Oryctolagus cuniculus: one gene and its partners. The protein of the gene in region 2 purifies or fractionates together with the protein of the main gene of each other region. This does not show direct contact. Links are inferred from orthologs where the notes say so. Each region holds a gene or a part of one and is shown on either strand. Other genes may lie near its edges. The genes, in order: CDC6, CCNF, CCP110, SQSTM1, RRM2, RBX1 and TARDBP.

Region 1 (3,740 bases), on a different chromosome or scaffold from region 2:
CCCTGCCAACCATGTAGAAGACCAGGATGGAGTTCCTGGCTACTGGCTTCGGCCTAGCGTAGAGCTGGCTGTTGTGGCCATTTGGGAAGTAAACTAGTGGATGGAAAATTGATATCCATACCCACACTCCCCACTTTCCAAATAATGTATACTTTTTGAAAACATCACAATGCTAAAAAGATATATAGGGATGTCGTAAGTTCCTGCCATAAAGTATTATATTAATTCTTTTCTTCTGGTATGTGAGATTGACTTTTAATGGCTTCAGAAAGCTATAGGGAGACTGACTTCAACTAAGTATAAGAAGAAATTTTCTGATAGGACCAACTAGGCTTCTTAACATAGTAGACTCATAGCCTTAAAGATAATCAGAGGAAAACTGCATCAATGATCACGTGTTGGGATTGTTTTAGAGGACACTCAGCTATTAGATAGGAAGTAAGAATAGACCTTAACATTACTTTCAATTTGTAAAATCTGTTACTTGATCTGTGATCTCTGGTTTCTCTATCAGTCCTCTGCAGCATTCCGTTTGTCGTCATGAAATAGAAGCAGATTACTGTGGGGCAACTGCAAATGGTCTCAGGAAGTAACTTTGGGCAAAGGTTGTTTGAGAGCAAATCCCTCCTCTGTCTTGCAATTTATGCATCTCCAAACAATGAGGCCATAGTCCTGTGTAGCTCATTGGCAGTTTCCCAACCTCTGGCTTTAGAGATGGTGCTATCTGCTAGGATATCCAATGACATTTTCTCAAGTGTTGCTGTGCTGCGGATCAGCTTGGGCAAGTGAACTAAACCTCAAAAGTCACTTGGGGAGGCCATCTGGAGGACTGATGTGGGATTTTTACTGTCCACATTTATCCACACATTTGCTTCAAAATACTCAGTATTTTGGAAGAAAGAATTTCCAGCTATTTTTCTTCCTTAATTACCAGGCACAGTCATCATCTTTGCTCCAAGGGTTCCCTTTTTACCTCTGAGGCATTAGAAACTTTCATGGTAGAATACAGTGGTTCTCTGTCTGATCCTTCCTCTTTCATGAGGTGGATTTTGTCTCCTTGACAAAATTACATTCCACAGGACAAAATAGCTCACTCTTCTACCCAGAGAAAGGATAACCCTACTTACCAAGTCATCCCACATTATTTTGGCATCTTGCTAAGGAGAGCATTGTCTCTCGTTGGTTGGCATCTAGTTAGAACCTCAGCTTTGCCACCACATGACTGCACTTGGATTTCCTTTAGCTAAAATTTAGTATCACCTGTCTCAACACACAAGCACATAATATTTTAAAAGTCAAATTAAGCTTAATTCATTTCCTTTATAGGTAAATCATCCTCTGAGTCTCCGGTTCCCAAGAGAGTTGGTCTTACTCACATATCCCAAGTCATTTCAGAAGTTGATGGTAATAGGATGACTTTGAGCCGAGAAGGAGCACAAGACTCCTTCCCTCTTCAGCAGAAGATTTTGGTGTGCTCTCTGCTGCTCCTGACCAGGCAGCTGAAAATCAAAGAGGTCACTCTGGGAAAGGTAAGTTGGGAATCTGCCACTGGAGCTGACATTGAGATGAGAATCTTCTCTGCAGAGCAGATGTTTTCCCAAAGTCCTATCATGCTCCAGCTGATAGGAATTAAAAATCGATTTTAATAGTAAGAATAAATACTGGTATTTAAAGATTTATTTTTATTTGAAAGAGTTACAGAGGGAGGTAGAGACAAAAGTCTTCCATCTTTGGTTTACTCCCCAAATGGCTGTAATGGCCGGAGCTAAGCTGATCAAAAGTCCGGAGCCAGGAGCCTCCTCCAGGTCTCCCATGTGGTGCAGGGGCCCAAGGACTTGGGCCATCTTCTACTGCTTCTCTAGGCCATAGCAGAGAGCTGGATTGGAAGAGGAACAGCCAGAACTAGAACTGGTGCCATATGATATGGTGCTTGAAGGCTGAAGGCTGAAGGTTGGGGCTTTATCCTACTGCTCCACAGCGCTGGCTGCACAGCTGGCCTTTAATAGCCATTAATCTGGCTGGCGCTGTGGCTCACTAGGCTAATCCTCCGCCTTGCGGCGCCGGCACCCCAGGTTCTAGTCCCAGTTGGGGCACCAGATTCTGTCCCGGTTGCCCCTCTTCCAGTCCAGCTCTCTGCTGTGGCCCGGGAATGCAGTGGAGGATGGCCCAAGTGCTTGGGCCCTGCACCCACATGGGAGACCAGGAGGAAGCACCTGGCTCCTGGCTTCAGATTGGCGCAACGTGCTGGCCATAGCGGCCATTTCGGGGATGAACCAATGGAAAGGAAGACCTTTCTCTCTGTCTCTCTCACTGTCTAACTCTGCCTGTCAATAAAAATTTTTTTTAAAAAAAGTAGATTATAATAAATTTTAAAAAAGAGATTTTTTTTTAAGCAACCTATGTTCTCCTGTGTTTCCTTCCAGTTGTATGAAGCTTACAGTAACGTCTGTCGCAAACAGCAGGTGGCAGCTGTGGATCAGTCAGAGTGTCTGTCACTTTCAGGGCTCTTGGAGGCCAGAGGCATTTTAGGATTAAAGAAAAATAAGGAAACCCGTTTCACAAAGGTACAACCAACTGCTTCTTTGTAATAATGCTTTCACTTGTCTTGTTCTAGAGAGCTTATCCTTTGCTAAAATAAGGATTTTAAAATGAGCACAATTAGATCGTTTGCTTTTTTGTTTGATAGGATTTTAGGTGTGTAAGGGACAAATGAGATAGTGCTTGTCTCAGTTGCCTCTTGTGAGAAGTTTTTTGTGGTAGAAGTTTGTGTAACAACTTTGGTTCTGTGAGTTCTCCATCATGAATCATGCTTTTCTTTTTCCAGGTGTCTTTGAAGATTGAAGAGAAGGAAATAGAGCATGCTCTGAAAGACAAAGCTTTAATGGGAAATATCTTAGCTACTGGATTGCCTTAAATTGTTCACTTACTGCACATCGGGCAGTATTCAGCTGGCATTTAGCGAAGGAGTCTTCGTTTTAGTACTTTATACACTCAGGTCTGAAAACAAATATGACCTTTTATACTTGAAACCAATGAATTTTAACCTATAGACTCATGAATATTAGCACAGAATAATATGTTTGGATCTTATTTTCACCCATAAAAATGACCACGTAGACCCTTTTCAATTACATCCAGTACCCTCTACCACTTGTGTGCCTCTAACCACTTGTATTTGCAGGTATGCAGATTTGTATGGTGGAATGCATATACACTTACCTATTACTTTCTTCAAACATTGATATATTATGTTAAGAACTTTGAAGTTAGGGTAAGAAGAATGGAAAGGAATGATCCTGAAAGCAAGACCACATGGTGATTTGGAGGACACTTTGACAAAGAATTTTTTGGGGGGGTATACTGTGTTCATGTTGCGGATTCTACCACATTGTGACATTTTAAAGACTCATTGTGTTTCTTGGGTACTCCGAAGCTTGAGGGACTGGTAAGGAGAATGTAACTCTGCAAATTGTGAATATATTTATTTTATTTTATTTATTTTCAAGTTGTAGTCTTAGTCTTTTTAAGCAATCACATTTCGAGAGAGCTCAAGCTTCCAGATGGCAATATGAAAATTCCTTCCCAAACTGTCCCACAGTCTTAGTTACTCTCAGATGAAACCTTTGTTTCAAGATGCCTTAGTCTGGGGTTGGATTTTCATCTGAACACATATTTTCCCAGCCTCATTAGATAAATTAATCCATGTGGATAGTCACAAGTTCTCTTCTGGGTTTGGTTTC
Region 2 (3,740 bases):
GCAGCTGTGTTCGCGCCTTCTGGAGAGCCCCACGGGGCCTCTGAATGTCTCGGGGTCCTTCAGCTCGGGCTGGAGCTCCGCTGGTCACCGTGCTGCCGACCTCTGGAACAGGACAGCCAGCACCGAGCCGCGCCGGGGCTTGTCCACCCACCTGCGGCTTCCGCCTCCCTTCCCCAGTGTTTGCAGGGTGGGCGGCAAGAATGTGCTCTGAGGTTCGCCCTGAACTGTGACTGCTTCACGGCTGTAGGGGCGGGGGTCGGGCGAACACAGCCACAACCCTGGGTTTCCTGGTCCTGAGGCTAGGTGACGTGGTGAGCACGGCGCAGCGGGAACAGGACCCTGCGCTGCCCACTGCCAGGCCGGCTGTGGGCAGTGAGCGGGTGTGGCCCAGAGAAGGAAGGCGCTGCGGGCTTAGAGCCTGGGCGCACAGGGGCGCCAGCCCGCGGCGTCTCCTGCCCCAGGCCGCAGACGAAGGCACCAGCCTCACCTGTGCTTCCCAGCAGCCTTTGGCGGCACAGTCCCTGAGTTTCCGAAAGCTGTGGAGGCACCGGCCAGGGTCAGACATCTGTCAACAGAAGTCACGGAACCGTGAAGCGCTGTCCTAGGAGCAACCCGGAACCCTCTCGGGGCGCTGCCACGTCCCCAACACCCAGACGGCTCCCCACCGCGCTGGCCTCCGGGACGGTAGCTGCCCTAGAGGCCAGGAGCGGTGGCCTAGTCCCAGGGCAGGGCGGAGGCCGTGCCCCTGGCCACCACGACGCCTCCCCACAGACCCGGCCACTCACGTCTGCTCTCCGGTCGCTTTCCCAGAGGAGGTACGAGCTGGCCAGGCAGCCCTGGAGAGCCGACTCCTCAAAGAGGGCGCGAGCCTGCTGCTGCTTCTCTTCGTCCTGGAACAACCGAGCGGCGGATTCCCAGTCCTGCACCGCGTGTGCCGCTCTGCAGCCCCCACCCACCGCCTCACCCAGAAACAGACCCCACAGCCAAGGGAAGCGCACTGAGGTCCCGGGCCACCCCAAGACCCGCCTCCCTGCCTGCTGCCAAAGGAACTGTGCCACACCGCCCAGAGGGTGGAGCCGCAGGCCCCTGGCTGCTCCAGCTCCTGGCTCTGCCCCTGGCAGCCACCATCTTCCCTAAGCCGGCTGCAGGGGGGCTCACGGATCCCAGAGGAAGCGGAGCATGGGTCCCACGGAGGCCACCAGACGGCAGCAGCACGGGGAGCTCAGCTCCTCCCCGGCCACTCGGCCACGCCCCTCCCCCACTGCTGCCCAGGAGCTGCCCAGCTCCGTGGGTCTCCTGGGTGGACTGGGCTTCCGTGTTGACCTCGGGCCTGGATGCCCTCTCGTTCTGCCGGCCACGGACGCGTCAGACACGGCAAAGGCCGGTGCAGTGGCCACTTCACTCACCTCGAACAGACTGAGCACTCTCCCCACGCAGTGCAGGATGGACGCCCTGTGAGTCTGCAAAGAGAAGAGACGGGGTGGGTGCTGGGCCCAGCAGCCACGACGCCCACGTCCCTCACGGGAGTGCCTGGGTTCAAGTCTCGGCTCTGGGTCTCATTCCAGCTTCCCGCTAACACACACACCCCGGGAGGCAACGGTGAGGGTCCCCTGCCACCCACGTGGGAGACCCGGGCTGAGCTCCTGGCTCTAGGCTTCGGCCTGGACCAGCACCAGCAGTTGTGCGCGTGTGCAGAGTACACACATGACTAGGGCCTCTCGCAGATAAACACAACTTACACTGTTCTATCAAAGGAGGAGGACAGAGAGGCCTGTGTGGACCATACCCCACATTCTATCAAAGGAGGAGGACAGAGAGGCCTCTGCGGACCACACCCAGGTCCCCCCACCTGGCACTGGGGCCAGCACAGCTGACAGCCCCCACATCCTGCACCGCCCTCTGCCTTAGGCTCCGGGCTTCCCGTGGCCCGCGGGTCCCAGGCTGCCAGCACTTACTCTCTGCAGCTGGCATTCCGCCCTGAGGCTTTCGTGAACCACGGCCTTGCAGCAGCTGCCAGACACGGACCACGGCGGGCGGATGAAGAGCCAGATGAAGGGAGCGGCGCCCACGTTCAGGCGCTCGGCCAGGCTGAAGAAGTGCGAGGCCTTCAGGCCGTTCACTTCCGCGCGGGCCTCATCGGACACGGACACTGTGGACAGAACACCCCGGCCATGTCTCCGGGGACAGGGCGCGCAAAGTCCTCCGGAGCCACCACACGTGGCAGGAACGAGGGTCGAGGAACCTCCACGCCGCCCCCTCCTCCTCCCCTGCTCCCTCAGGGGTCCAGAAGCCTCAATTCTGAAGATCAGGGAAAAGCGCCCCCTGCAGGTGGCAAGCCCATCTTCCAGGGTCTTCCCAGGGAGGACCCAGGGGCCGGGACAGTGGCGGTGGCTGTGCAATTCTGCTAAACCCGCTGGACTGCACCCTGCAAGGTGTGGGGACCGCTGCTGCTGGGAGTGGGGCAATGGGCGGGGCGCGCCCAGCCCGCCTGCTGCAGGGACCCTCAGCGAGACCCCAGAACTCTCAGAAGCAGCAGGACAGCTGGCTGCACCCTAGTCCTTAGTGTCCTGGGCTCACTTCCTGGGTGGGCAGGGACTGGTCAAGAGAAGGCTGCACAGGGCCTGAGAGGGGCGCGCCTGGCCTCCGGGGGTGAAGGAGTCCAGGCAGAGGCCGGCCTCGACCGGCTTCCCACTTCAGCTGCAGACACCTGGGTGCCATGGACGCCTCCGCCCCAGAGCACAGAGCAGACGGCTGAGGACAGGCGCCTCGGTGTTGGCGGCCAGAGGGCAGGGAGCCCGGGGAAGGCGGTGTGCCCGGGCCGCTCACCAACATGACAGCAGGTGGCCCTGGGCACAGGCTCCCGAGAGGAGAGCGAGGGACACCCCGGCCGCAGCAGGGACGCGGCTCAGCCGGGCGTGTCCCTCACACGCACCCCACGTGGCGGCACCGGGCGGCACTTACGGCCTTCGTTGTAGAGGTAGGCGATGCCCAGCTTCACGGCAGCCTCGAAGTTGCCCTTGTCGGCAGCCCTGCAACAGGAACACACGGCATCCAGCTGTAGCTAGACCTGCCGTCCCCTCCCCAACAGTCACGTATCAGCCTACGGCAGACGGACGTTGAGAACACAGGACCACATGTATGCAGACGTCTGGGACAGGCAAATCCAGACACACAGAGCTGACTAGGAGGCGGCCTGGGCTTCGGGGATGGCTGAGGAGAGGGGCCGCGAGTGTCCACGGGGCAGGGGGCTGCCCTGCAGTCAGACAGGGGCGCTGCGCAGCCGGGGGATGAACTCCGGAGTGCACGGCAACCGAGTCAGGACACCGCCCAGCTGTGGTCCCCTAGTCTGTCACAACAAGGCAGCTCCAGGGTGGCCCCTGGCCAAGTGGACAGTGGGCCCGGTGCGGACACTTGGTTGACGGGAGCCCCGGGGCGGCCCCAGCCCATGAGGACAGTGGGCCCGGTGCGGACACTTGGTTGATGGGTGCCCCAGGGCGGCCCCAGCCCGTGAGGACAGTGGGCTGGGTGCTGATACTTGGTTGACGGGAGCCCAGGTGGACACTGGGCCCAGTGCGGACACTGGCGAGGGGATGGTGAGCGGGCAGAATCAGCAGTGAGTAAAACCCATTAAGACTGAATCACATGGCTCTGACTTTAGGAAAAGACCTAAACATCTCAGCACGCAGACGACTTGTGTTGTCACGTGGGAGCGAGTCGACGGCCTCGGAGGACGCTCAGGG
Region 3 (4,484 bases), about 11 Mb from region 2:
GAACAGAAATAGACCCGGCATGCAAATCATGTGCTATACTTTCTATAAATACACGAGCACAAAATTCAATTTTAAAGATCTGGGAAGTTTAAGGAAATAAAATACTTCCATGGCAACAGCTTTATTTTTCTTTCAACATCACAGATGCTTCATTGTTTCAGAAGGTTATTTACATTCTTTAAATAGCAAATGTATATACTACAAATTGCAGATGGATGAGCAGTCTTCAAAAAATCTGTGGGAAATGCATAGAATGAAAAACCTACGCATGGGTTGCAGAAGCTTTCTGCACCAGGGGCAGGCATTTGGCCCAGCTGTTAATCAAGACACTTGCGTCCCCAACGGGAGCACCTGGGCTCCATACCTGGCCCCAGCTCCAGGCTCCAGCTTCCTGCTAACGCAAACTGTGGGAGGCAGGGGCTACGGCTGGGCTCGAGTAATTGCAATCCTGCCACCCATGTGGGAGACCTGGACTGAGTTCCCACTCCTGGCTTTGGCCAGGCCCAGTCCCGGCTGCCACAAGCATTTGGGGAGTGAACTAACAGACAGAGAATATCTTGATCTGTGTGTGTGTGTGTGTGTCTGCCTCTGAAATAAGTAAGATATGCTTTTAAAGTTTTTTTCTAACAAAATAACCTTGTCTTTTAGCTCCACCTTCCCATAAACCTGTGACATATCTTCACAAGCAATACGCTGGTATTATTATTATTGTAGCATAACATACAGCATGCAACAATGCTTCAACTATTCAAGTATGAGTGCTGATATGGAGGTCACAGAAACTGCAAGCTGATCCCGGGCCACAGCGGGATCCCTCCTGCCTCTGGTCTCAGCTCAGGTGCCACCTCCTCACAAGGACCAGCCCTGAGCGCCCTTCTAAATTTACCCTGCCTCAGCCACTACCCCGTTACCCTGCTGTCTTCCAGTCTTCGGACTTAGCACTCTCTGAAATTCTCTTGTCTTTCTCTGGTTTTGTCTGTCTGCCTCCGCTAAAACGTAAGCCATGTGAGCGCCGGTACCTTCGCAGCCTTGTCCGCTGCATCCCCACTGCACAGAACAACGCGGGCACGCAGCTGGCACTCAGTAAAGAACGGTGAATACATGAATCAGCTGATTCCCTCCAACAGTAAGGTAAGCCAGGGAAAGGAAGAGGGTGGGCGACACAGCAAAAGAGCTAGCAAGGAAGGATGGAGTCCAGAGAACGAAGTTTCCCTGCTGACCCGGCTCTCTGTGAGCTGCAAAGGGAGCCACTTACAAAGTGAGCCGTCTGCATCCCGCGTGGCGTGGGGCACAGGCACTGTTTCTCTACCACAATCCCTCTGCTGCCAGGTTTTACTTCCACAGAGCCTTGGCTACGAGGCCAATCCAACCACAAGGCACTGCCGGTCCACAGCCAGGAATAACGTCGGCTGTGTGCCTCCTCTTCTTTGCTTATGAGCCAGAGTTCTGCTGAGCCTTATTCAAATGAGCCTCTTGACAAACCCAAGGAACTCAGGGTCCTATCTGCTCCTTACCAGCCAAAACTGTCACCGCAGAGAGTGACAAAAATAACACGGCCAAGATCCGGCCTTGTGGGCAGAAGCGAGCTGACTGGGTACCCATCAGGACCCCCGCCAGCATAAAATTCCTGTAGCAGCAGTCAGCGGCATTTCTTCTTTTTAATCTGGTGGGGGGGGGGGGGGAGGGCATAACAAATGTAGAACGCGCCTCACCCGGGCAGCACACACACGCAGAGCGAGACGCCAGGAGGAAGATGTGACATTCGGGCACACCCTGGCTGGGCGTTCTTGGTGAGCCAGCGACTGTCCTCCAGCTCATCTTCCTCCTCTGTAAAGTGCGGGTCATGGGGACACCTGTCTCACAGGTAGTTCGTGAGAATCCAAGGAGCGAATGCACTTAGCATACACAGGGCACACAGAAATCGTCCACGCATTGTGAAGAAGAGAATGCCAGTGATGATTTGTAGCAAGAGACTAGGAACTCCAAGGAGAGAGGGGGAGAGGGCTGGCAGTGACAGTGCTGGGTTCCTGGTAGGATGCAAATGTGACTGGAAAACACGGGACTGCTTGTTCATCGCGCCGTGCGCAGACCCCTTCCCACCAGGGCAATCCCTAGCCGGCTGCCACGTGCACAAACAGGGGTAGGGGGCTGGGGTGATCACCGGATAAGAAGCAAAGGCTGGGAACCAACCAGCAGCATCAGGGGCGATCCAGAGGATTCGCCATGCTTCCACCCCGGAATCGCAGAGGCGAGGCAAACGGCGCTCCCAGGTCGCCGGTTTCGAAAGGGCCGGGCACAGCCCGGGACGGAGACGGGGGAAAACACCCCCAGCTTCGACCCCCGAACGGGGCTCTCCGGCCTCGGGCGCCCTTCTGCCCTGCACGCCGCACCCTGCAGCCGGCTCCTCGGACATGGAGCCCGCTGCGTGCGGCCGGCATCCGAGCATCGCATCCCAGCACCACCGGCCTCGGGCCCCCGCCTCCCCACGCCCGGCGCCCTTCCAGGGGCTCGAGGCCCAGGAGCCGGCACACAGCCCGCCCTCGGCACCTCAGGGCGCCAATTCCGCCTCTCCCGCTCGCCTCTCCCCGGCCACCCGCCGAGGGTCCTGCCCCCTCCTCACGCACAAACCTGATGCCCCACGGCCCCCTCAGACTTTCTCCCTTCGCCACGAGCCTTGTCAGGCAGGAAGCAAATGGCTCAACTTGTACTGACAGAGCACAGTTCGGTCCGCCGCCGCCTTCGCCTCCTCCTCCCCGCCATATTACGGGTCTCAGAAGCGACAACGCGGGCTCCTGGCAACCGCCGCCGCTGCCGCCACCTAGACTCCACCTCTCAGGGCGGGCACTTCCGGTAGTGGCTTCGCGGGCAGTTGGAACGGTTGGGCTCCAGAAAACTACAGTCCCCGAGATGCACTGCGCACCCCTGACCAAGGGCGTGTGCTTGCGGCGAGCGGAATGCATCCTGGGAAATGTAGTCTTCCCTGCTACACCGCCCTTCTAGAATTACAATTTTTCTATAACCAGAACTCTGGTTGGGGTCTGAAGCCCCTAAAGTGTTCCATAAAGCTGCCATTTTTCTTCTTATTTTTATAGCTATTACCTCTCCCTGTGTGGTCGCTGGAAAACATATCATTCACAAATATTTTAAAATATATGTATTTTATTTGAAAGGCAGAAACAGAGACAGATCTCCTCAAATGCCCGCAACACCCTGGCTGAAGCCAGGATCCCAGAACTCCTTGGGGGTCTCCCGCAGGGTGGCAGGGACAAGTACTTGAGTCCACCTGTCCATTCTCAAGGGTGCCCATTAGCAGGAAGCTGGGACAGAAGCAGATCGGGGACTCCAACCCAGGCACTCTGACATGGGGTGGAAGCATCCCAAGCAGTGTCTTTGGGGCTGCACCAAATGCCAGCCCCTCAGCAATGTTTTTGCTCTGTACATAAAAATTTACTAAATCATAGAAGCCAATTGGAAGCCTTAAGATAATCCATACGCTTTTGAATTCCAATGAGAAGGTTTGTCCAAGAGAAACAGGTAACAGATTCAAGATGGAAGAAAATTCTCTGAATGTTTTACCAAAATTGTCTATTGAAAAGTCACAGAAGACGGCGTGGTGACATAGCAGGTGGAGCCACTGCCTGCAATGCTACCATCCCATATGAGTGCCAGTTCTCGTCCCAGATGCCCCACTTCTGATCTAGAGCCATGATGATGCACCTGGGAAAAACAGCCAGAGGATGGCCCAAGTGCTTGGGCCCCCGTACCCCTATGGGAGACCTGGATGAAGCTCCTGGCTCTTGGCTTTGGCCCAACCCAGCCCATTATAGCAGACATCTGGGGAGTAAGCAAGTGGATAGAAGATCTCTCTCGCTCACTCACTTTCTCTCTCTCTGTCTCTCCCTGTAACTTGCCTTTCAAATAAATAAGTAAATCTTAAAGAAAAAGGAAAAATGTGTCACCAGCCATTCAAAATATGATTTAGCAGCCTCTCTCCATTCCCTGAGTAGGCTTCCCCTTGGGTCTCTGTTCCTCTTTCTGGTGCTTGTCTTTGACTCTATAAAAGGGAAAGGTTAGAACTGCTATCACAGGGTGGTTGCAAAGCACAACTCAGATAACTCTCCCAGCGCCTGGTACATTAACCTTTAGTAGTAGGAAAAATAAGATTAGGAGGGTGGCAGTGGAAAAGTCACAAGCCACTGGCTTCATGTTAGCCCTGACCCTGCCATTACCCACCCCATTCTTTGCCTCTCCTTGGTTTCCTTACCACTGGGATCGGCATGCTGACATAGGGTAAGGGCGCTGCCTGCAACACCGACAGCCCATAAGAGCACCAGGTCAAGTCCTGGCTGCTGCACTTCCAATCCAGCTCCCTGCTAATGCACCTGGGAAAGCAGCAGAAGATGGCCCAGGTACGTGGGTCGCTGCAGCCACGTGGGAGACAGGGTTGGAAATCTTGGCTCCTGGCTCCAGCCTGGCCCAGTCCT
Region 4 (4,351 bases), on a different chromosome or scaffold from region 2:
CTGGGCTGGGCAGAAGCCAGGAACTCAATCCAGGGCTCCCATGTAGGAGGTGAGGACCCAATTACTTGAACTTTCACCTACCCCCTGCCAGCATCTGTCCTGGCAGGAAGCTGGAGTCGGGAGCTGGGATCCAACACGGGCCCCAGGTATCTTAATGGGTGAACTAACCACTAGGCCTGATGCCCACCAAGGCCACTTCTTTAGGGGTGGGGCTGGACAGATCGGGGATAAGAAGGGAGCCTGCCCATTCACTGGACAGGAAGTGTGCCCGCCTGGGCCTGAACCTGGGCCACGGTCACACCTAAAAGGCAAAGTTTCCGCGTACACTACACGGACAATAACAGTGCCCTGTCCCTCAGAGGCCCAGCCCGCCAAAGGCTCTGGGCTGTCTGCAATGTTTAAGTGGAGATGAGCCCAGAGGCCTGCTGCTTTCTCCAACGAAGAAAAAAGGCTGAGTCCTTCTATGTTGGCTTCCGTGATTTTAAAGCATTGCCACACAGACCAGACCAGACCGCACCGTGCACAGGCTGCAGGCGGGGCCTGGACTTGGGCACCAGAGGGCAACATCTACCCTCAGAGCAAGAGTGGCACTTTTGCGAAACAACCCAAAAGTCCATCAACTAATGACACAAACACGATATGGCATATCCACAAAAGAAACGAATACAGATGCAGCCTACACCTCTGATGAACCTGAACGCATTTCCCTAAGGAAAGAAGCCAGACACAAAGCTAAACTGTACAACCCCCTCTCCACCACTGTCCAGAAGAGGACGCCCAGGAGAGAAAGCAGCTCAGCGTTGCAGGAGCTGAGGGAGACAGGTAAAAGGCATGGGGTTCCAGTGGAGAGGAAGGGGTTCTCATGCTGACTGCCAGCGCCTGGCCCCGCTCTCCAGCCCCAAGTCTGCTCAGAAGTTCCAACTGGTGAATGTGTTAAAGACCACTGCATCGGGGCAGGCATTTCTGCAGCGGCTAACTGGCAGCCCGGAACACTGGCAGCCCATATGAAAGTGCCTGGTTGGAGTCCAGGCCACTCCACTTCTGATCCCGTTTCCTGCTAATGTGCACTGGAGGAGGCAGCAAAGGATGGTTCAAGTGCCTGGGTTGCTGCTACCCTCCTGGGAGACACTGATGGAGTTCAGGCTCCTGGCCTGGCTGGGGCTGGCAGCTGTAGCCATTGGGGAGTGAACCAGCAGATGGTAGGTTGGGGTGTGTGTGTATGTGTCTCTCTGCCCTTTCAAAATGAAATAAAATTTTAAACCCTTGAATTATATACTTTAAATGAGTAAATTTTATGGTATGTGAATTACAGCTCAATAAAATTGTCACCAGGAAATTAAAAAAAAAAAAAATGCTGGGCAAGCTACTGAGGGCGGTCCCAGCCCTGCTCCCTCCCAGGGGCGGGCCTTGGCCGAGGACCTCCCTCCCACACTGCTGTCCCGGGACCCCACCCCCAGCAGCAGCTACCGGTCTGAGCAGCGCAGCCAGAAAGAGCGGTGGCTCCGGGCTTGTCCCCACTCTGAGTTTGTGGAGAACGTTTCGACATCGGCCGTCTCCCCACTGCCTTGTCCCTGGGCGACCTGCGGCCTACCCCGGGCTCAAGGGCCCTGCGTCCCCCAGCCGCCCACGCCCACCACCCACTTTCAGGGCTCGCTGAACGCAAACCTGGCGCCGGCGGGCCCAGCCCCGGCAGCAGCAAGATGTCAGTGTAACCCGAGTGCCCGCCTGACCACCTTCTCAGCCCAGGGCCAGAGAGGACGCCCCGGCGCGTCCTTGGCGAGATCTGCAACATTATGGCGGGGAACAGGAAGCATCTAACGACCCAAAGTCCCCAGCCCGCGGGGCCTGATCGCCTCGGCCCCTGAGGGACAGGGCCTGGGTCACTGGGCTGGCACCCGAGGTGCAAGTGGGGTACGCGCAGGTCACCGCTCACCCAGAGCGCGACCAGCACAGCATCCCTTCCGACGCAGCCGGCACCGACTAGGAAAGGGCAGCCCCGGACCCCGGCCACCCCCCGGCCCGCTCACCGCGGTAGTGCGCCTGGAAGCCGCCGGGCCGCAGCGCCGGGAACAGAGCGGCCACCCGGGCCAACAGCCGCTCGCAGGGCCCGGGGCCGGCCGCTGCTTCGGCCTCGGCCTCCGGCTCCGGGCTGAAGCAGAAGCTAAAGCGGCGGATCTCGCGCGCCGCCTCCTCTTTGCCCAGGAGGTAGGCCTTCACGGTGAGCGACGCCATCGCAGCCGGAGAACGACGAGCAGCTGCGCAACCGAGGGAGCACCGGAGGAGGCGGCGGCGGTGGCGCCAGTGGCGCGTGGCTTTTGTAGGGCACGCGGAAGCCCCGCCCGACGTGGACTCCTGGGGGCGGAGCCTGCACTCTTCGGGTGCCGCCCCCCACCGCCGGGGCCGCCTCTCGCGAGTCTCCCTGCCAGGGCCCCGTGCCTGCTTGCCCCTCTCCCCGCTGCCCTTTGACATGGTCTACCGCTCTCAGTCTGTCCCCTCATTGCCCCCAGGGCACCGGAGACCCCCAGAGCAGGCCTCAGCATCTGTACCTCCTGAAAGGAATGGGCTGGGGTCCTGTCCGAGGCCCCTCTCCGGCTTGGGCCTGGCTGTGACTCAGCAGAGCAGGTCCCTGGTCATCAGCAGGGGTTGCCCAGCACAGGACAGAGGAGGACACACAGAGCCCTCTATCCCAGGAGGCATCTAGGCTGCCCAGTGGGCACCACCAGCCGGAACCAGCTGGCTGCTAGGGTACCCTGCTGCCCTGCCATGCGTGACCCCCAGAAGGCAGCCCTACACCAACCACAGCCTCCTGCATGAGCGTCCCTAGCTGTCCAGGGCCGGCTGGCCGGCTCGTCCACTAGCGACGGCAGTCAGTCACCAAGTGCTGACTGCAGCTCAAAAAGACACATGGACGCCCCCAGCCCTGTGAGCCCAGCAGGCTGAGCCTGACGCCCCAGGCCCTTCCTCACCATCACCAGGAATGGTTGATCAGGGGTCCTTGTTTTAGCACAAGAACTTCAGCCATGGGACAGAATAGCAGCAAGCGTGCTGGCCAAGTCTGATGAAAAGAATGCACCTGACAGAGTAGGCGGGCATCTCCATCAAGAGCTGAACCCACCTGCTTTCAGACTGGGGTTTCTATGGATACGGGTATAGCCCTCTTTCTCCTCTCCCCTCCCCTCCCCTTCTGGGACACGTCTGGGGGAAGGGCTTCCAGAGTGTGGAATTCCTGAAATTCCTCCCAGAACTTCATCAGCAGTATTATTGGACCTAATAGCCACACACACACACACACACCCCCCCAATGCAGGGCAGGGATTTCTCTAAGCTGCCCCTGGGAAAAGGCTGGGACCCACTCAACAAGGTTATAGAAGGAGACCAAGGCTCTTTTTTTAAAAATGTGTTTATTTATTTTACAGGCAGAGTTTTGGATAAAGAGAGAGGTCTTCCCTCTGCTGGTTCACTCCCCAAATGGCTGCAACAGCCAGAGTTGAACTACTTCGAAGCCAGGAGTTCCTTCCAGGTCTCCCACGTGGGTGCAGGGTCCCAAGGACTTGGGCCATCCTCCACTGCTTTCCCAGGTCATAGCAGAGAGCTGGATCAGAAGAGGAGCAGTCGGGACACAACCGGTGCCCAAATGGGATGCGGCGCTGCAGGTGAAGGCTCAGCTGCTGCGCCACAGCACTGGCCCCACCTGAAACTAAGACTTTTGAGATGTAAATACTGCTCTGCTTCCCAGGCTTGCTTCTGTGGTTCTTCCCTCACCCAGCCACACAAATTCCCATTTCTTCCCTCTCACAGATGCAGGCTGCCTAACAGACCTGTCAGGGCAGGGGGCCAATGCAGCAGGTGCCTGCCTGTAGGGCCTCAAGAGTGTTGGCCACAAGGGCGGCCAAGGGGATGGGACCAGTCACCTTTCAGCTGGGAATCCAGAAACTCTGCTTCCTGGGACCAAAGTGACCTGTCTGCAAGGCCTGGGGGAAGGCGCTGGGAAGGGAGGTGTGTCACCCCCCCCCCCAGACCTCCCAGGCAGGTCCTGTGACTAAGAGTCAGCCCTGTTGGGTCAAACCCCCCCCCTTTCAGGTCAAGTTTGTGGGAGCAGCTTGGGAAGCCCAGCGATGAGGGTGGGCTGGTTGGATGGGGGTTAGGCAGATGCACAGGTGGCCAGGCCACAGGAGTAACGGGATCCTGCCCAGCGAAGCCAGCCAGGCTCCCGTGCCAGGAGCAGCCTTGGAGAGGCTGGTCCATGATCCCTGCCGCTGTGAGCCTTGGGAAAGTGTCCCTGGGCCTGCTGGCCCCTCTGCCCCAACACAGGGTCGGGAGTCCCGCCAGTGAGGGGCGTGCTGGGCAGAGG
Region 5 (2,715 bases), on a different chromosome or scaffold from region 2:
GTCCAGCCTGAAGAGCAACACGCATGTATAAATATAGGGAACACATGTCAGCAAGTTAAAGGGCTTCATTTTTTGCTGAATATGTATGTGGACATGGGCCGGCACTGCCGTGCACGGGGTTAACCCGCTGGCTGCAACACCGGCATCCCATATGGGCACCAGCTTGTCCTGGCTGCTCCGCTTCTGCTCCAGTTCCTGCTAGTGCGCCTGGGAAGGCAGCAGCAGGTGCCTAAGTTCTGGGGCCCCTGCACTCACACGGGAGACCAGAGTTCTGAGTCCTGGTTTTGACCTGGCCCGGCCCCAGCAGACACCGGGAAGTTAAATCAGCAGATGGAAGACCTCTCTAACTCTGCCCTTCAAATAAGTAAATCTTAATAAACAGGAAATAAACAAACGTGGATATGGAGCCATGAGACCTGTGTGCCTCTCAGAACCGCAGGTGTTCAGGGTGCAGCCTGAGACTGGACTCACCTCATCCCTGCTAATAAGTTCATTGGAGAACGTAAGCCCGGGCATCAGTCCTCGTTTCTTGAGCCAGAAAATCGACGCAAAAGAACCAGAGAAGAAGATGCCTTCCACCGCAGCAAAGGCTACGACGCGTTCTCCTGTCCGAGAGTTTCCAGTGAGTCACGGCATTCCCAGGGAAACCCGCAGTGTCATTACCGGGAACACGCGCTCTGGTCTAAGGTGGCCACGGGCAAGCTTACCGTAGGTCGCCTCTTTGTCCCCAATCCAACGCAAGGCCCAATCCGCCTTCTTCTTGACACAAGGCATCGTCTCAATGGCATTAAAGAGAAATTCCCTAGGAGGCGTAGACAGCATCAGTATTTAGGTCAAAGACCTCCAATTCCCAAAACTTCTAACAGCACCGGATTGAAAGCCAAGTTCAACTATCTGTCAGCTCTCTCCCCAAAAGAACTCAGAGTGAACTGTTTTCTTTTCACTATTTAGCTTTTCCCTTGAATATTACTTTTAAAAAGAGTTGACAGGCAGAGTTATAGAGGAGAGATGGTAGAGGTTGAGATCGCCCATCCACCAGTTCACTCCCCAAATGGCTGCAATGGCCAGGACTGTGCCAGGCCAAAGCCTGGAGCCAGGAGCTTCTTCTGGGTCTCCCACGAGGGTGCAGGGACCCAAGTACCTGGGCCATCCTTCGCTGCTTTCCCAGGCCACAGCAGAGCTGGACTGGAGGTGGAGCAGTCAGGGCTTGAACCAACACCTATATGGGATCCCGGCACTGCAGGCCACAGCTTAACCGGCTGTGCCACAGCATTGGCCCCTGAATGATTACTTCTAAAAATCTCAATATTTGAGGGTCGGCACTGTGGCACAGCGGATTAATGCCCTGGCATGAAGCGAAGGCGTCCCATATGGGCGCCGGTTCTAGTCCCGGCTGCTCCTCTTCAGATCCAGCTCTCTGCTCTGGCCTGGGAAAGCAGTAGAAGATGGCCCAAGTCCTGGCTGGGCCCCTGCACTGTGTGGGAAACCTGGAAGAAGCTCCTGGCTTCAGATCAGCACAGCTCCGGCTGTTGCGGCCAATTGGGGAGTGAACCAGCGGATGGAAGATCTCTCTGCCGCTCCAATAAATAAATAAATCTTAAAAACAAAAAAACAAGCCAGTGCCGCGGCTCAATAGGCTAATCCTCCACCTAGCGGCGCCGACACACCGGGTTCTAGTCCCGGTTGGGGCACCGGATTCTGTCCCGGTTGCCCCCCTTCCAGGCCAGCTCTCTGCTATGGCCTGGGAGTGCAGTGGAGGATGGCCCAAAACTCCTTGGGCCCTGCACCCCATGGGAGACCAGAAGCACCTGGCTCCTGCCTTCGAATCAGCACAGCGCGCCGGCCGCGGCAGCCATTGGAGGGTGAACCAACGGCAAAAAGGAAGACCTTTCTGTCTCTCAGTGTCCACTCTGCCTGTAAAAAAAAAACTCAATATTTGGGGCCAGTGTTGTGGCAGAGCAGGCAAAGCCTTAGCCTGTGACACCAGCACCCATATGGGCATAGGCTTGAGTCTTGGCTGCTCCACTTCCAATCCAGCTCCCAGCTAATGTGCCTGGGGAAGCAGCAGCAGACCACCCAAGTGTTTGGGCCCCGGCACCCATGTTGGGAGACCTGGGAGAAGCTCCTGGCTTGGGTCTGGCCCAGTCCTAGCCATTGCAGATATTTGGGGAATGAACCAGCAGCTGAAGATCTCTTGTGGTCTCTCTGTAATCTTGCCTTTCAAATAAATCTTTTTTTTTTTTTTTTTTTTGACAGGCAGAGTGGACAGTGAGAGAGAGAGACAGAAAGGTCTTCCTTTGCCGTTGGTTCACCCTCCAATGGCCGCCGCGGCTGGCGCGCTGCGGCCGGCGCACCGCGCTGATCCAATGGCAGGAGCCAGGAGCCAGGTGCTTCTCCTGGTCTCCCATGGGGTGCAGGGCCCAAGCACCTGGGCCATCCTCCACTGCACTCCCGGGCCACAGCAGAGAGCTGGCCTGGAAGAGGGGCAACCGGGACAGAATCCGGCGCCCCGACCAGGACTAGAATCCGGGGTGCCGGCGCCGCTAGGCGGAGGATTAGCCTAGTGAGCCGCAGCGCCGGCCTCAAATAAATCTTAAAAAAAAAAAAAAAAGAAAAAAAAAAAAACCTCAACATTTGATTTAGGCTGATGAGGGCAACTTTAGATATTCTTCAGCTCATACTGAAGTCCAAGGCCAACACAACTATTCTATGCTG
Region 6 (4,330 bases), on a different chromosome or scaffold from region 2:
GATTTGGGCCATCTTCTACTGCTTTCCCAGGCCATAGCAGAGAGCTGGATTGGAAGTAGAGCAGCCAGGTCTTGAATCGGTACCCATATGGGATGCTGGTGCTTCAGGCCAGGGCATTAATCCACTGCGCCACAGCACCGGCCACCCAAAAAAATTCTCAATCCAGGGCACCAGCATCCCTTATGGACACTGGTTCATGACTTGGCTGCTCCACACAACCTTCCATTTATTTTAGTTCATCTCCAGGTAACTTACAATGCCTAATACAATGTAAATGCTATGTAAACAATTGCGAAGCTGTATGGGTTAGTGAATAATGACAAGGAAAAAAAGGATATATTTGTCCAGTACAGACATTAAAAAACGCATATGTATTTCTGATCCGCAGTTGTCTGACCCCACAGATAGGGCGGAGTGTAAATCTCGCCCAGCAAAAATTAGCTCATGTAGGATATTTTAGGTCAGAGTTTACTTTCTTCCATTCACTATGTCTGCCTTGGAGTTCTGAGTATGAGACGGGAGATACAGAAGAGTACACAGCATCTCTGTGTCCAAAATTCACTCTAAAAGCGTCCTTGCCATCCTTAAGATTGTGTGGAGTGGACTTATTCCAAGAGCTGGGTATGCATGTAGGACTTCAGAAAAAACTACTTTCCTTCCAACACCCCAGTGGACTAAACACAAAAGGCCTCACACATGCTGTGCTTTGTGTCTCCTGGTGAGGAAGGAAACTGGCCACTTCAGGATGGCCACAATCCCTGTAGCCTCTCAACCTCCTCCCACCCTCCTCCAGTTACTTACAGAGATCCATAATGTGGTTCCTGCAGATGGCACAGTTATCAACCACAATATCCCAGGCCCAGAGGGCTACTGCATTCCACTGCAAAGAGAAAAAGGGGGAACAATGCGCTCTCCTTGTAATGTCACGCACACACGCGCTTCCTGCTGCAGCTGCAGTTACCCACCTGGGCCACAGGGACCACCAGACAAAAGAGTTTTTGGATGTTACATTATTCTCATTTATTATATTAGGGGACAACTGGAAGCTATATGTAGGCTGGCCCATTCTCCAAAGGTTTGGTATAGGAATACAGAAATGAATGAGTCACCTTTTTTATTTCTTTTCCCTACAGTTTAAAATAATTTAGTCAGTCATATCAATGTAGGCCAAGTTAGGAATAGTTTTTCAGTGCCTGCTTTAGGATTAATAAGCACAAACTTGAATTCCTGTGAAGGTTTTTCTGGCAGCTGCAGGGCTCAAAATCTGCATAAACATCAGGAGCGGGAGGTGAACGCTAGGGACAGGATGAACTAAGACGATGACTGGATAATAACGTGGGTAATCGTGGGATAAGCTGGATAACTGGTGACCCAGGGTGGGTACCCAGAACAAGGTCATCGCTTGAACCTCACGCCGTCACTTCCAAACGGCAGAATTTACTAGAATCTTTCGTTCTTATCAAATAAGCTGATGTTCTCAACTTTCGTATGTTGCAACTCTAACATGTAGTAAATTCCAGTAAGGATTTATCTTAAAAAAATTATGAGAAACAACTTCCAAACTCCCCTTTCACCCACTGTCTGGCGCCGCCACCCAAGCCTTCATCTCCTTCCAGGCCAGCTCTCAGGTCTAGGAACTTCGCCAGCACTCTCCACACCTCAGCTCCAACTTGGAGAAGCCCCGAGTCCGCAACATGGCTGCTGGCAGCAGGCGGGCAGCGGCGGCCACAATGAGACGCCGAAACGCACTCGGAGGGCCCGGCGTCCGCGCCTGGACGATGGTCCAGGAAGCGCAGCTCCCCTAGGTCGGAACCTTCATTGTCCAGATTTATTTCACCTTAGGTGGGAATCGACACTTTTCTCCAGAGCTGCCGGCTCGGGGAAAGCAGTGAGGGGGCAGACCTCACGCCAAAAAGAAAAAGAAAAAGCCGCGTCTACATGTGTTCCTGCCCCCGTCTCCGCCAGGCCGCTCGGAGCCAGCACGCGATCCTCCGCGAACGGCACGAGACTGGGACATTTTCTTTTCAACAAATTCCACCATGATTTTTTTTTTAAAAATGTCTTTTGGAGGGAGATTCTGGACGTGACACCACAAGGCTGGGGCGGCTGTGTGACAAGCCGACACACGACCCCCCAAGAGCCAAGCTGCACACTCCGGGCGGGGGCCGGGCCCGAGAGGGGCTAACGGAGGGACGAGTCGGGGACCCTCCACGCTTCAGACAGGGGCGGGGCGGGGAGGTCACCAGCCGGGCTCCTCAGAGGCCTCCAGTGCGGTAAGAGCTCAGGTTCTCGGCTTTCGCCACACCACCCCATCCTCCACCCGCCGCAGCGCTCCGACTCCCCTTCCACCCACCCCGCCCGGTCCTTCCCCCCACCCCTCAGCCGCTTCAGTGACAGCTCCGGCGCTTGGCTCCCGCAGCCCAGTCGCAACCCCGCGCATCTCAATAAGCACCTCCGTGATTGGCCCCTCAGCCTCAAAGCGAACTCAACATTGCGCTCGACAGTGGGCCGCCGTCACGCCGATCAACGCTAAGGCCCGCCCCCCGGCTTCCTTTCGTGGTACCCGGTCCTAGGAACGCCCTGAATTGAAGCCCTTTCCTCCGCGCCTCGGTCATCCAAGGGCCTGCCAGCCAGATCCGCGCCTCTCTAGCTTCCCCGAGGAAGGCGCTGGCGAGACCCAACCTTTTTCACTTCAAAGCGCTTCTTGCCCGCGCCGCTGTTGGTGCCGCTCGGGGTATCCACATCCATCGCTGCCGCCATTTTGGAAACACACGATCTGTAGTCCGGCCAATGCGCCTGCGCAGTAGCGCGCGCCTCGCTTCCCACCCACCCCCTGACGCCCGGGCGCCTCCTCCCGCACCCCTCCCCCGACTGGCGCGCGAGGGGCAGATGGAGGCGGAGCCCATGGCCACGCCTCTTAAAGGCGCTGGCGCAGGCCTCCCCCCTCACGTCGGCCGGGGAGGAGGCGGCGGCCGGAGGGGCCGGGGCGGGGCCGGGCGGGGCCGAGGCGCCTGCAGCGAGCCGAGTGGAAACGTTCGACAGGGCTCGCTCTCGTCGCCCTTCCCCGGGAAGCCCCCGGGCCGCACTGCCTTCGGCCGGGGCGGCGGCGGCTGCTTCCTCCGCCTCGGCCGCCAACCTGGCCGAGGCCGCGGCACCGTTGCTGGTCCGGGCGCGGGGAAGAGGCGGGGGTGGCGCCCCGCGGTGCGGGACTCCACACTGACCTTCTGCGGACCGGCCTGGTCCCGCTGCGGAGCCCAGGCCCCAGCGCCAGTCACCCTGCGAGGCCTGCGGCCGGGGTCTGTCGGGCCCACCAGGCACCGGCTGGCTTCCCCGATGCCCGTTCGGGGAATGCCCAGGGCTTCGACGGGCAAGAGGAGGAGACCCCCGAACGTCCTCCCCAGTGGCGAGTCCGGTCGGCCTGGAGGGCCCGCGTCTTTGTGAGGCAGGCGGCTGCCACCGCTGGCCTCGCCCCGTCTTCTGGTCTACCTCCCTCCAAGCCTGCACCAGGCCTCGCTTCCACGGCTGTAACCGCCCGGGGTGGGGGTCTCACTCCCGCCTCCCGTCTATTTGAAATCTCCCCTCTCGCCTCTCGATCTGGCGCCGTGGCCTCCAACGCGAAGCCGGAGGGACTTGGAATGTTTTCCTTCTTAATCCCAAACAGGAACGACAGACCCCCCGTGAGACTGTGGGAGACCCGAGGGGGTCGCAGGAACCCCACGAAGTTCCTTAGCCCAAGCTTTAAGGAGTCTGGGGTAAAGCTGCCGTTAATTAATGTGTGCCTACGGACCCTTCCTGGAGTTCCTGAAGCCCATGGCAGAGCTTCCGAGGCCCTGGTTATCCATCACCCAACAAATTAACTGGGGGGCATTGTGGCCGCGCGCTTAGCACCCCCCCCCACCTGTGACGCCGCATGCCACGTGGGTGCTGGGTTGAGTCCCGCCTGCTCCACTTCCCATCCAGCTCCCTGCTAGTGCGCCTTGGAAAGCAGCAGAAGGTGGCCCGAGTGTTTGGGTTCCTGGAATTCCTGGCTCCTCAGGCGTTGCAGCCGTCGGAGGAGTGAACCAGCCCATGGAAGAGTTGACTCCGACCTTCCAATAAGTAAAAATCGTAACAACAATAAACTGTATTGCGCCACCCTTGTGGCACAGCAGGTTAAGCCGCCACCTGCCACGCGAGGATCCCACGTGGGTGCAGGTTGGAGTCCCGGCTGCTCCACTTCCGATCCAGCTCTGGGCTAGTGGCCCTGCCACCCACATGGGTGACCCAGATGCAGTTCCAGGCTCCTAGCTTGGACTGCCCCAGCCCTGGGTGTTGTGGCCATCTGGGGAGT
Region 7 (3,740 bases), on a different chromosome or scaffold from region 2:
GTGGATGTCCTTTGAATGCAAAAAACATTCGTACGTTATTTGCTATCATTGCTCTCTGCACACTCTCGCACCAAAGCCACAGGATTGAGAGACACATCTCGCCAAGATAAAAAATATCCATTATGCACCACCAAGTCTCTGCACGCGCTCTCTCCTTCCCTCGCTCATACTAGCCTTTCATGCCTTGGCACCACCATCAATCCCACACAAGGTTTCAAAAGTTCAAACAGCCTTCTGGTTCCATATCACAGCCTTGCGTTCACAGCGTTGATACGACTCCATGAAATAAAGAGTACTGGATAAAAATGGGACACCCACCGTCAGAGACGCAGCCCGCGCGGCGTGACGACCAATTCTTGAAAGAGAAAGCTGTAGACAGAAGTATTCCTATGGCAGAATGTTTACAGCACTACGTTCAGCGAAGTGCTTCTTCCATAAACGTTTGAAATGAGATGAACTGCAGAGATTAAATGAAGGCTTCATATCGTACTTTTGTATGAGGGGAGACAAGTGTTAAAAACAAAACCGAAAGAACCAAACACTGCGTGACACCATCATCTCCCGAGAGGAAGACTTTCCTAAGGAAAAAATCCGTATGGTGGGGTTCAAATTAAAACAAGGAGAAAAGAATGTAGCTCTAAATCAATGGTTTCCACTTTGAACATGCAAAGAATTCACTTGACAAGTCCAGGGATAAGAGATTACAGGAGAAACCTTTCGATATCGACTGTAGTGTGTTGGTTTACCAATCAGGCAAACAGCAGTTCAACTTTCAACCACTCAATATTTCAACCCTTTATGTAACAAAACTTATAAAATTCCTTTAGCTCTTCCTTTTTTTCTAAAGAAAAATGTCAAAAATACTGCTGAATATACTCCACACCGAACAAACCAATTTTGAAAATTCTTAGTACATATGTATTTTACAATATACTTACCATGAGTTTAGAAAAAATTGAATTCCCACCATTCTAAGCAACCAACCACAGCCCACGGTCTACATTCCCCAGCCAGAAGACTTCGAATCCATGCTGGAGCCAAAGCCACCGTTAAAACCACTGCCTGACCCTGCGTTGGATGCCGATCCCCAACCAATCGCTGCACCCGAGTTAGAGCCACTGTAGGAGTTATTGCCAGAGCCAAAGGCCTGGTTGGGCTCCCTCTGCATGTTGCCCTGACTCTGGTTATTGCCCGAAGGCCCCGACTGGCTCTGCTGACTGGCTAACATGCCCATCATCCCCCAGCTGCTCTGCAGTGCCGCCTGCGCCGCAGCCATCATGGCTGGATTAATGCTGAAAGCACCGAAGTTCATCCCCCCACCCATATTACTACCTTGATTGTTCCCCAAGCCGGCTCCACCCCCTCTACTGTTACCAAAGCCACCCTGATTCCCAAAGCCACCTGGATTACCACCAAATCTTCCACTTCTTTCTAACTGTCTATTGCTATTGTGCTTAGGTTCGGCATTGGATATATGGACGCTTATTCCTTTAATGATCAAGTCTTCTCCACAAAGAGACTGGGCAACCTGTAAGAAATAAGGGTGCAGACAAAGGAGATTAAGCCACGGAACACACACCTAATAAGCAGAAACAAAATCTAGATTGCACGCAGAATTTATCCACGCTGGAGAGAAATACGACGACGCTAGCTGTTCTGCAGCACAGCCTTTATTTAGCTGTAGTCACGGAGCGGGGGCATCTCACTCTGTTTCAAGACCATGTAATACTCTCCAACAGCACATACTGAAAGCTACCCACTGCTCGTCTCACACGTGTCTAAGCCCACACATCCCGCTGCCGTACAAGCCCAGAAAGCGTAGCTAAGGATGGCTGTCCACTGCGACGCATCACCAAGCAAAATACCTGATCATCTGCAAACGTGACGAAGGCGAAGGCTCGGAAGGGCTTGGGAATGAACACGTCCACCACCTCCCCGTACTGGCAGAAGAACTGCTGCAGCTCGTCAGCAGTCATGTCCTCCGTGCAGCGCCCCACAAACACCTTCCTGCTTCTCAAGGGCTCGTCGGGGCTTTGCTGGCCAAGGGAAAGGGGAGAGGTCAGACAGAGCTGGGGGGCGCGAGGAGAGCAGCAGAGTCTGTCTGGTTACAGCAGAGGGATCCTGCGAGGGAGCCACCAGCCCTTTCCCTCCAGCAAGACTTCAAGACCAGACTTCAGAGTTAGGAAAGCGACGGGACCTGGGAAAAGCCAGCGACAGGAATGGCCCTGACGGGACGACGCTCTGAACAAGGACTGCTCTGTCAGGCCTACATAACAAGGTGAACGTATGACACGCTGTACGTCTTCACGTTTCAACAGACACCCGTGCAGGAAACATTAACTCATGAATAACGCGAGCAAAGTTTCAGTTTGGAAGAGTTACAAGGCAAAAGCTGTAACACATCCTGCCACTGCCTTTCCCAAGCATATGCGGGCACTTAACAAAGTCAATGGAAAATGGAATTAAAATATCTTGGAGGGGCTGGCACTGTGGCGTGGCAGGTGCTGGCATCCCATAGGGGCACTGATTTGAGTCCCAGCTGCACCACTTCCGATCCAGCGTCCTTGGGCCCCTGTACCCACACGGGAGACCTGGAAGAAGCTCCCGGCTCCCCGGATTGGCACAGCTCCAACTGCTGTGGCCAAGTGGAGAGTGAATCAGCAGATGGAAGACCTCTCTCTCTGCCTCTCCTCCTCTCTCTGTATAATTCTGACTTGCAAGTAAATAAGTAAATCTTAAAAAAAAAATTCTGGAGCAAAAAATTTAAAAAAATTCAGTTGTTTTTCATAAATACGTACCTTTCATCAATTTTGTTAAAGACCCCCCTTGTACTTAATGTTTTATTTTACAGCACTTTCTAAGAAAGCCTGTCAGTAAAAATCCCCAACCCACAGAGGGAGAGCCAAGTACCTTAGAATTAGGAAGTTTGCAGTCGCACCATCGTCCATCTATCATGTGCCGCTGGGACATTACTTTCACCTGCGTCTCATACTCCGTGAAACGAACAAAGCCAAACCCTTTGGAATGGCCAGTTTTAATATCTTTCTTGACCTAGAAGAGACAATTTACTCCTAAAATATCCGCATGCACTCAAACTCGCAGTCCTAAATCAAAAGTTCCTGAAAACTGAACGGCTTCCATGAACGCAGTGGCTGAATTAGGATGTCGATGAAGCTAAGTACTGAGGAAAATAAAAGGCAGCAAGAGGGATCCAGATCATGTTAATGGACAGAGTAAAACTCAAGTGACACAACAGAATTTTAACAATGTTTTACAATAAGTGCCAGCTTTAAAAAAATTTTTTAATATATCTGAAGGGTAGAGCAAGAGAAAGAGAGAAAGAGAGAAAGAGAGAAAGAGAGAAAGAGAGAGAGAGAGAGAGAGAGACTCTATCTACTGGTTCACTCCCCAGATGGCCACAGCAGCTGGGGATGAGCCAGGCCCTCCTTCCAGGTCTCTCCCATGACCGCAGGGACCTAGGTGTTTGGGCCACCACCTGCCGCCTTCCCAGGCCTACTAAGATTGGAAGTGGAGCAGCCAGGACTGGAAACCACACTCCAACAGGGGATGCTGACATTCCAAGCAGCGGCTTAGCCCACTGTTCTGCTGTGCCACAACGCCAGTCGTCAGTGTTTACAAACTTAATCACATGGGAAAAGCAGAAAAATTTCCCGTTCCTTTAAACACTTAAAGGCCCCTGCACACACGTGGGAGACCCAGAAGTAGCTCCTGGCTTTGGA

The links.
Region 1: the proteins of CCNF (region 2) and CDC6 purify together in Homo sapiens (affinity purification with western blotting; 4 studies listed by BioGRID and IntAct, with this or other methods). This does not show direct contact. The link is inferred for Oryctolagus cuniculus from reciprocal best matches to the Homo sapiens genes CCNF and CDC6.
Region 3: the proteins of CCNF (region 2) and CCP110 purify together in Homo sapiens (affinity purification with western blotting; 7 studies listed by BioGRID and IntAct, with this or other methods). This does not show direct contact. The link is inferred for Oryctolagus cuniculus from reciprocal best matches to the Homo sapiens genes CCNF and CCP110.
Region 4: the proteins of CCNF (region 2) and SQSTM1 purify together in Homo sapiens (affinity purification with western blotting; 3 studies listed by BioGRID). This does not show direct contact. The link is inferred for Oryctolagus cuniculus from reciprocal best matches to the Homo sapiens genes CCNF and SQSTM1.
Region 5: the proteins of CCNF (region 2) and RRM2 purify together in Homo sapiens (affinity purification with western blotting; 5 studies listed by BioGRID and IntAct, with this or other methods). This does not show direct contact. The link is inferred for Oryctolagus cuniculus from reciprocal best matches to the Homo sapiens genes CCNF and RRM2.
Region 6: the proteins of CCNF (region 2) and RBX1 purify together in Homo sapiens (affinity purification with western blotting, with the first as the bait; 4 studies listed by BioGRID). This does not show direct contact. The link is inferred for Oryctolagus cuniculus from reciprocal best matches to the Homo sapiens genes CCNF and RBX1.
Region 7: the proteins of CCNF (region 2) and TARDBP purify together in Homo sapiens (affinity purification with western blotting; 3 studies listed by BioGRID, with this or other methods). This does not show direct contact. The link is inferred for Oryctolagus cuniculus from reciprocal best matches to the Homo sapiens genes CCNF and TARDBP.

The regions. Positions count from the first base shown.
Region 1 is NC_091448.1:22,169,658-22,173,397, reverse strand, and holds the end of CDC6 (cell division control protein 6 homolog), read left to right. Parts: intron 1-1,326; coding exon 1,327-1,529; intron 1,530-2,423; coding exon 2,424-2,564; intron 2,565-2,824; coding exon 2,825-2,914; 3' UTR 2,915-3,505; downstream 3,506-3,740. UniProt on the Homo sapiens protein: Involved in the initiation of DNA replication. Also participates in checkpoint controls that ensure DNA replication is completed before mitosis is initiated.
Region 2 is NC_091450.1:32,852,860-32,856,599, forward strand, and holds part of CCNF (cyclin-F), read right to left. Parts: intron 3,030-3,740; coding exon 2,962-3,029; intron 2,150-2,961; coding exon 1,956-2,149; intron 1,461-1,955; coding exon 1,407-1,460; intron 891-1,406; coding exon 786-890; intron 566-785; coding exon 488-565; intron 1-487. UniProt on the Homo sapiens protein: Substrate recognition component of a SCF (SKP1-CUL1-F-box protein) E3 ubiquitin-protein ligase complex which mediates the ubiquitination and subsequent proteasomal degradation of target proteins.
Region 3 is NC_091450.1:21,520,261-21,524,744, reverse strand, and holds the start of CCP110 (centriolar coiled-coil protein of 110 kDa), read right to left. Parts: upstream 2,850-4,484; 5' UTR 2,629-2,849; intron 1-2,628.
Region 4 is NC_091437.1:67,652,929-67,657,279, forward strand, and holds the start of SQSTM1 (sequestosome-1), read right to left. Parts: upstream 2,831-4,351; 5' UTR 2,470-2,830; coding exon 2,028-2,469; intron 1-2,027. UniProt on the Homo sapiens protein: Molecular adapter required for selective macroautophagy (aggrephagy) by acting as a bridge between polyubiquitinated proteins and autophagosomes.
Region 5 is NC_091433.1:192,177,398-192,180,112, forward strand, and holds part of RRM2 (ribonucleoside-diphosphate reductase subunit M2), read right to left. Parts: intron 803-2,715; coding exon 708-802; intron 606-707; coding exon 472-605; intron 1-471. UniProt on the Homo sapiens protein: Provides the precursors necessary for DNA synthesis. Catalyzes the biosynthesis of deoxyribonucleotides from the corresponding ribonucleotides. Inhibits Wnt signaling.
Region 6 is NC_091442.1:117,033,007-117,037,336, reverse strand, and holds the start of RBX1 (E3 ubiquitin-protein ligase RBX1), read right to left. Parts: upstream 3,000-4,330; 5' UTR 2,761-2,999; coding exon 2,683-2,760; intron 881-2,682; coding exon 802-880; intron 1-801. UniProt on the Homo sapiens protein: E3 ubiquitin ligase component of multiple cullin-RING-based E3 ubiquitin-protein ligase (CRLs) complexes which mediate the ubiquitination and subsequent proteasomal degradation of target proteins, including proteins involved in cell cycle progression, signal transduction, transcription and transcription-coupled nucleotide excision repair.
Region 7 is NC_091438.1:157,254,606-157,258,345, forward strand, and holds part of TARDBP (TAR DNA-binding protein 43), read right to left. Parts: intron 3,052-3,740; coding exon 2,911-3,051; intron 2,037-2,910; coding exon 1,866-2,036; intron 1,529-1,865; coding exon 998-1,528; 3' UTR 1-997. UniProt on the Homo sapiens protein: RNA-binding protein that is involved in various steps of RNA biogenesis and processing.